Linked DNA regions of Oryctolagus cuniculus. The protein of the gene in region 1 interacts with the protein of each later gene in a pairwise test. Links are inferred from orthologs where the notes say so. Each region holds a gene or a part of one and is shown on either strand. Other genes may lie near its edges. The genes, in order: TFDP1 and E2F6.

Evidence for each region.
Region 2: the proteins of TFDP1 (region 1) and E2F6 interact in binary tests that used the Homo sapiens proteins (3 or more experiments, as listed by UniProt). The link is inferred for Oryctolagus cuniculus from reciprocal best matches to the Homo sapiens genes TFDP1 and E2F6.

What each region holds. Positions count from the first base shown.
Region 1 is NC_091440.1:466,192-469,508, reverse strand, and holds the end of TFDP1 (transcription factor Dp-1), read left to right. Parts: intron 1-1,326; coding exon 1,327-1,474; 3' UTR 1,475-2,558; downstream 2,559-3,317. UniProt on the Homo sapiens protein: Can stimulate E2F-dependent transcription.
Region 2 is NC_091433.1:191,249,993-191,253,801, forward strand, and holds part of E2F6 (transcription factor E2F6), read left to right. Parts: intron 1-1,377; coding exon 1,378-1,594; intron 1,595-3,441; coding exon 3,442-3,597; intron 3,598-3,809. UniProt on the Homo sapiens protein: Inhibitor of E2F-dependent transcription. Binds DNA cooperatively with DP proteins through the E2 recognition site, 5'-TTTC[CG]CGC-3'. Has a preference for the 5'-TTTCCCGC-3' E2F recognition site.

The DNA.
Region 1 (3,317 bases):
CCAGGCACCTACAGTGCGTGGGGCTGGGCTGGGCTGGGCTGAAGCTGGGCACCGTGCGCTCAGTCTGCGTCTTCCATGGCCACCTTCTTTCTGCCCCCCAGGTGCACACTGGCAGGAAGCTGCAATCAGGAGTGGGAGCTGGGACTCCGCCCGTCACTGTCTGGGGCGTGAAGGGCCTGGCCAGCCGGGGCTTAACCACCAGACCTAATGCTGCCCTGCCTGTGTGGAGTCTTTCGCTTGTGTTTTACAGTTATTTATTTATTTATTTGAAAGGGTGACAGAGGAGTCTCCCATCCACTGGTTCACTCCCCAAATGCCAGGCCAGAGCCAGGAGCCAGGAATCTCCATCCAGGTCTCCAGTGTGGGTGGCAGGAGCCCAAGCACTTGAGGTGTCAGCTGCTGCCCCCCAGGTGTATCAGAGGGAGCAGGATCAGAAGCAGAGGCGGGACTCAGTCAGCCCCAGGCACTCCGCTATGCGGACTGGACGTGGCTGGGGAGGACTCAGTCAGCCCCAGGCACTCTGCTATGCGGTTTGGACGTGGTGCGGGAGGGCTCAGTCAGCCCCAGGCACTCTGCTATGCGGACTGGATGTGGTGCGGGAGGGCTCAGTCAGCCCCAGGCACCCCACTATGCAGTCTGCACGTGGCCGGGGAGGACTCAGTCAGCCCCAGGCACTCCACTATATCCGCTATGTGGACTGGACATGGCGCGGGAGGACTCAGCCCCAGGCACTCCGCTATGCGGACAGGGAGGACTCAGTCAGCCCCAGGCACTCTGCTATGCGGACTGGACGTGGCCAGGGAGGACTCAGTCAGCCCCAGGCACCCCGCTATGCGGTCTGGACGTGGCCAGGGAGGACTCAGTCAGCCCCAGGCACCCCGCTATGTGGTCTGCACGTGGCCGGGGAGGACTCAGTCAGCCCCAGGCACTCCGCTATGCGGTCTGGACGTGGTGGGGGAGCGGGGCAGCTTAACTGCTTTGTCCTGACTTCGACCCTTGGAGAAACGTCTTCAGTCGGTCACATTGGCAGCTCTGGGCTGTGGCAGGTTTTGGGGGTGCTACCCCTGTTGCCAGGTGGTGGTCTTGCCCCTCACCCGGGCATCCTGACCTGCCGTGGCTGCCGTCTTTGAGCCTGTGCATGTGTGGCTTCTCTCTCACCTGGGGCCTGACCTGAGCCATGCACAGCCGCTTCAGGAGGACGGGGCTGGTGGGGGCCCGGGGGCTGCAGGGCTGGGTTCCATGTTGTGGGACTCGATCTCCCCTTGAGGCTGAGGCCAGGCTGGGTGGAGGCCGTGCCTGACGCTCGTCTGCCTCCTGTCCCTGCAGCGACTTGACCAACGGTGCCGACGGCATGCTGGCCACGAGCTCCAACGGGTCTCAGTACAGCGGCTCCAGGGTGGAGACGCCCGTGTCCTACGTTGGGGAGGACGACGAGGACGACGACGACTTCAACGACAATGACGAGGAGGACTGACGTCCCGGCCCCTTCCCCGCAGATCCGGCTTCAGGAGCCGGCGAGGGAAGAGACTTTTTTTAAGCGTGGGGTTTTCTGTTTCTTTCTGGCCTTCCCCCAAGAAGATGCTGGTGAGCTGCGAGAGGGCCCCGCAGGCCCCAGGCCGCCGCCAGGGCACTGCTCGCTTTGCAGGCGTCTGCTTTCCGTTTCTAGCTCTTTTTAAAGTTCAGAGTCCGTTTTTGCCCCTTCACAGCTCTCGCTGAGTTTGCTGAAGATATCTTACTTCATCCACATCAATGAAAATAAGACGCTCTCCTGCCGTGGCCGCGGGCGCCGGCGGCGTGTGGCGCCCTGCGTCGGGCTGGCGGGGGGCGGATGCAGGATGCGTTTTCCTCTTGTGAATCATGCGATGTCCAAAGACGGAAGCGAACACTCAGCGCCATGCGTCCTGCCGTGACTGTGTGCTCCGTAAATTATACTGACTGGTGTGACTCCATCAAGCTGACGTCTCTCTCTCTCTCTCTCTCTATTGCAGCAACAAATTGCAAAGTCCTCTTTCTTTTTGTTTGTCGTTTTGGTCTGCTGGGCAACGTTTACTGCCCGCTGGGGCGGCTGCGGAAACTCTGGAAGGTTTGTTGCTTATGGTAAAATTTGCCTGATTTCTTACAGGCTGCGTTTGGAAACTTTTTATTAAATAGTTGTTTACATACCTATGAGTCTGTCATTTAAAGACACGTACCGAAACAAATGTGGGATTTGTTTCCTGAGCATCTTCCGTAATCTATTATAAAGTTGAAATTAAACATAGAGAATGTTTTAACAGTTTTTTAACTCAAAATTTGTCAATCATTTTTAATAGTTCTTTTTTTATAAAGAGAAAAGGAAATTAAGGACAGGCAGTAGTGTCTTTTAAGATTTATTCACAGAAACATTAACTGCTCAGTTGCTGTCAGCTGCCTGTTCTGAAACGATAGTCTTTTTATTGAAACACAAATAGACTTTTCTGTAATATTTTATGGAATATAAAGAGACTTTAATTGTTTGACTTGTTTAACTCGGCACTGTTAGTTTTTATTAATAAAACGCGCATGGGCATTTTCAACGAGCTCTGTGTGCTCCATCTCACTTTCCCGGCCAGGGCCCCTCCCCCCACCCTGCGGCTCACAGCACGTGCGCTCCCTGGCCTCTTCCTCAGCCCTAAAGGTCGAGACGAATTCCACAGGTTTCCCCTTCAGAAAGGAATGACAGCATGGAAGGTTCTGGAAAGGAGTCGGAGCAGGAAGCACCAGGTGGTGGGGCGCGGCTCCGCCTCCTCGCTGCTCTGGGGCTCTGGAGAGGCCGCGACTTCAGGGCCGTCACTTCTGGTTCAGCTTTGGCTCCTCGCTCAGCGGCAGCCCCCGCCCAGCCCTGGCAGGCAGCTGCCTGCTGTGCTGGCACAGCCCGCACATGGGTACATGGGTGCACACGGGTGCACACAGTGTGGAGCCAGGGCAGGCCTGTGCTCTGGTCAGTAGCGAGGAGACAAGCCCTGCCACTGTGTCTGAAGCCCCCGCCCCTGCACTTACCCCCTCTGGAGACCAAGACACTCAGCTGTGCATGCAGGGAAATCCAGAGGGTGGCCTGCACCTCCGTGCGGCCTCAGCACAGTCACAGCCAGCTGAGATCCTGGAGCTGACCAGATGGAGACAGGCAGCCCGGTGCCTGGGCCTGAGCAACCTGGGGGGAGGGGAGGAGAACTGAGTAGAGGGAGGGGCACAGCACGCCCCAGGGAGAGAGCAGCACTGGAAGAGGGGAGACATGGATGCCAGCCCCCAGCAAGCAGAGGAGCTCCCAGGAGGGCTAGCTCAGGGACTCCCACCCCTCG
Region 2 (3,809 bases), on another chromosome or scaffold:
AGCTGCCGGGTGGGCGCAGCGGCCGGAGTGGCCACGCAGTGCAGTGCGACCCAGAGTGAGCCAGGCGCACGCCTCTGGGTGCTGATCCAGCATTCTTGCTGGAGTTGCGTGCCGGAGAGCTTGGGGCAGTCCCGGGCCCTCCTGGCTTCCCTCCCTCCCCTTCCCTTTTTCCCCTCCACCCCTGCCGTGGGTGAGGGTTGAGGGTGGCGCGTCCCTGTACTTCTGCAAGTCTCTGCTGTAGATGGCCTCGCCCAGGGCCCCTCTGAATCCACTCTGATCTCAGCAGGTGGTGTACAGAGGCCCACGTTTCAGCCCTTCCCCAGCCCCGGCACGGTCCCAGCCGCAGCTGGCCGCCTGCTTTGGTCACCTGTACCTTGAGGTGTCTCCTTCGTCGGCCCACCCCCAGCTCCTCGATGAGCTCCTGCAGTGCCTGGCGCTGTGTGAGGCTCTTTGCACAGATTTGCACAGCCCCTGAGGGGTAGTGGTGTGGTTTTAATCCTGTTTTACACGAGTGACCTGGGGCCAGAGCGGTTAAGTGACTTGGTTATAGTCAGGTTCAGTATCAGTCTGCCAGCTTTGGCTGCTGAGCTAGACCACAGAGTCCAGTCTAGGCTCACCTGACAACCAGAGATGTGGCGGCGCCTCCTAAGGAAGCCACCAGCCCCGCTCCGAGTTCCTCACCCCAGCCCCAGCCATCATGCCGACGCAGAAGTGGGGGCATGGCGTCATTCCACCAGAGCTCCAGGCTGTAGGTGGTGGCTCAGTTCTTTGGGTCCCTGCTACCGTGTGGCAGATCTGTACGGAGTTCTGGCTCCTGGCATCCGCCTGGCCCAGCCCTGGCCCAGCCCTGGCCGTTGTAAGCATTTGGGGAGTGGGTGGAAGATCTGCCTCTGCCCCTGCCCCTGCCCCTGCCCCTGCCCCTGCCCCTGCCTCTGCCTCTGTGTTGCCCTGCCTTGCAAACAAAGTCATCGGACAAGAATGTCCTGTGACACGGATGGCAGGTCCTGCTTTCTAAAGAATTCTTTAACTTCAGGACAAAACAAGAGACTTATTTTCAGAAATCATTGCGAACTATTCCTGAGAGTGGTGCAGATACAAACTCAGTCCTCTGTCCTATAGAATGCAGGAACTCCTGAAAAATCCGTGCTCACAGTGGGAACCGGCTGCGTATTTATGCATCTATTGAGTGTAAAACCTTTATTTAGACCTGGCGTGGCCAGTACGTTTTTCATCCAGTTTGGGAAATTCCGTAGAAATGGGTTGTGACCTGTGTGTGAGATGGGTGTGAGGCTGCTGTAGAAGTCTGCCTCTGACCACGAGGAAACAGACTCCGGAGGGTACTGAAAGTTTCACACGTGTGTTTATTTTGTTTCCCAGAAGCTCTAAAAGTGAAGAGACCTCGTTTTGATGTATCACTGGTTTATTTAACTAGAAAATTTATGGATCTTGTCAGATCTGCGCCTGGGGGTATTCTTGACTTAAACAAGGTTGCAACCAAACTGGGGGTGCGGAAACGGAGAGTGTACGACATCACCAACGTGCTCGACGGAATCGACCTGGTGGAGAAAAAGTCCAAGAACCACATTCGCTGGATGTGAGTTGGTTTCAGACTTTGCATGGGTACTTTTTTCCCTTTCTCCTCACATGACAATTCCATATTTACACCACACTAGATAGTAGTGATGGTTTTTTTGTTTGTTTGTTTGTTTGTTTTTTTGACAGGCAGAGTGGACAGTGAGAGAGAGAGACAGAGAGAAAGGTCTTCCTTTGCCGTTGGTTCACCCTCCAATGGCCGCCGCAGCCGGCGCACCGCGCTGATCCGATGGCAGGAGCCAGGAGCCAGGTGCTTTTCCTGGTCTCCCATGGGGTGCAGGGCCCAAGCACCTGGGCCATCCTCCACTGCACTCCCTGGCCACGGCAGAGAGCTGGCCTGGAAGAGGGGCAACCGGGACAGAATCCGGCGCCCGGACCGGGACTAGAACCCGGTGTGCCGGCGCCGCTAGGCGGAGGATTAGCCTAGTGAGCCGCGGCGCCGGCCCAGTAGTGATGTTTTGACAACAAAACAGAGTCAGAGAGGATTCTAACTAGAAAAGCAGTCCATAAGAACTTCTTGCATTGTCCACAAAGCACATTATTTGTTTTTGTTTTTTACTATGTGGGACTTAAAAAGAGCCACAGACACAGTGTCATTCCAGTGTTAGTGAGAAATTACACGGAACAATATTAGTTTGCAGTTTTTGGCTTTCCATGGTCACGAGAGACAACTGATGTTTATAGGAGATGTAAAAACATTTCATTCCCGTCAGTCACTGATACCGGCTCTCACCGGGCAGCGTGAGTGGTGATTCGATGGTTCTGGCTGGGGTGGACGGCAGTGCGCATTCTCAGTATTACCCCAGGAGCCTGATGCGGTGGGCAGCACCTCTCGCCCTGGGGTGCACTGCCCTGAGTGCAGGGAGGGAGACTCGAAGTCTGAAGGCAACTGCTCAGCGCTCGATGTAGTTAGGAAGGGCCTGTGGAAGCAAGACCCCGGCTAGACGTGCAGAGAAGGGCGTGTGTGATGTGCAGGAGCTATGGGCTCGGGACGGGCAGGTGTTCTGGATCGGGATGAAGAGTCCCAGGGCGGCGTCCGTGCAGACCGTCCAGGCAGCTGCAGAGTCTGAACAGAGCTCACAAAGCGGCTCTTATGCGCGGAGCTCAACTATTGGAGGAGAGGGCTTCATAAAGGAGGTGCCTTTAGTAGATCAGAAAACAGATCGTGACTTAGGATCACACTTGGACACCAGCAAGCAAGAAGAGTGAAAGGTAAGGTAGCAGGTAGCAGTCTCCCCTGTTTATTTTCCATGAAGACCGAAGGGGGAAGTGACTGTCAGTTGTTCCTCGTACCCTGGAGTCCACACTGACACCTGGGTATCCGTGTGACCAGTCGGGAACGGCAGAACTGCAGCGGGGAGCTGCCACCAGCGGCTCGCGTGGTTCCCCTGGGGAGAAGTGGTGAGCCCCACCACGCTGTGTGTGGCAGAGCTGGGGCTACACTGGCTGCCGTGACTCCTCAGTACAGAACCTGGCCGAGTATTGACGCCGCGGAGTTACAGCATGAGCTTTGGAAAGGGCCTGGCTGAGATGAGGCCTCTAAGTGGGATGCAGGCCAGTTTCTAGGCAGAACACCGTGTGTCTGGGACCCAGGGTGGGAGCTGAGTCGGTCCCCGGGTTCCGTCATGGGAAGAGCTAACGCGTCTCGAGCAGGTCCTGTCGCTCACTCAGGGTGCCCGTCGTCCAGGCGGCAGTGAGGGTCCTGTCGCTGACTGGGGGCCCGAGGTGCAGGCGGCAGTGAGGGTCCCGTCGCTGACTGGGGGGCCCGAGGTCCAGGCGGCAGTGAGGGTCCCGTCGCTGACTGGGGGGCCCGAGGTCCAGGCGGGTGAGGGTCCTTCTGTCTCTCAGAGGGTCTGACCTTCACCATCTGGGAGCAGTGCCCCAGCAGAAGAAGCTGCAGGAGGAGCTCTCCGACCTGTCGGCGATGGAGGAGGCGTTGGACGAGCTGATTAAGGACTGCGCCCAGCAGCTGTTTGAGCTGACGGACGACAAGGAGAACGAGAGATATCCTTCACGTCTGTGCCTGTGTACAGTAGGGCCGCTCTGGGATTTAACTCGTACAGTTAAGATACAAAATTAGGTCTTCAAAAGTGACCATAAGTAAAAGCGTGATAGTACAAGGGGGTGTCAGAAGTTTATGGAAAAATGAAACTAAAAGTTAGTGCTGGGGCAGTGGTCATTTAGCCCAGCAGTGAAGACACCAGCATCGCACACCC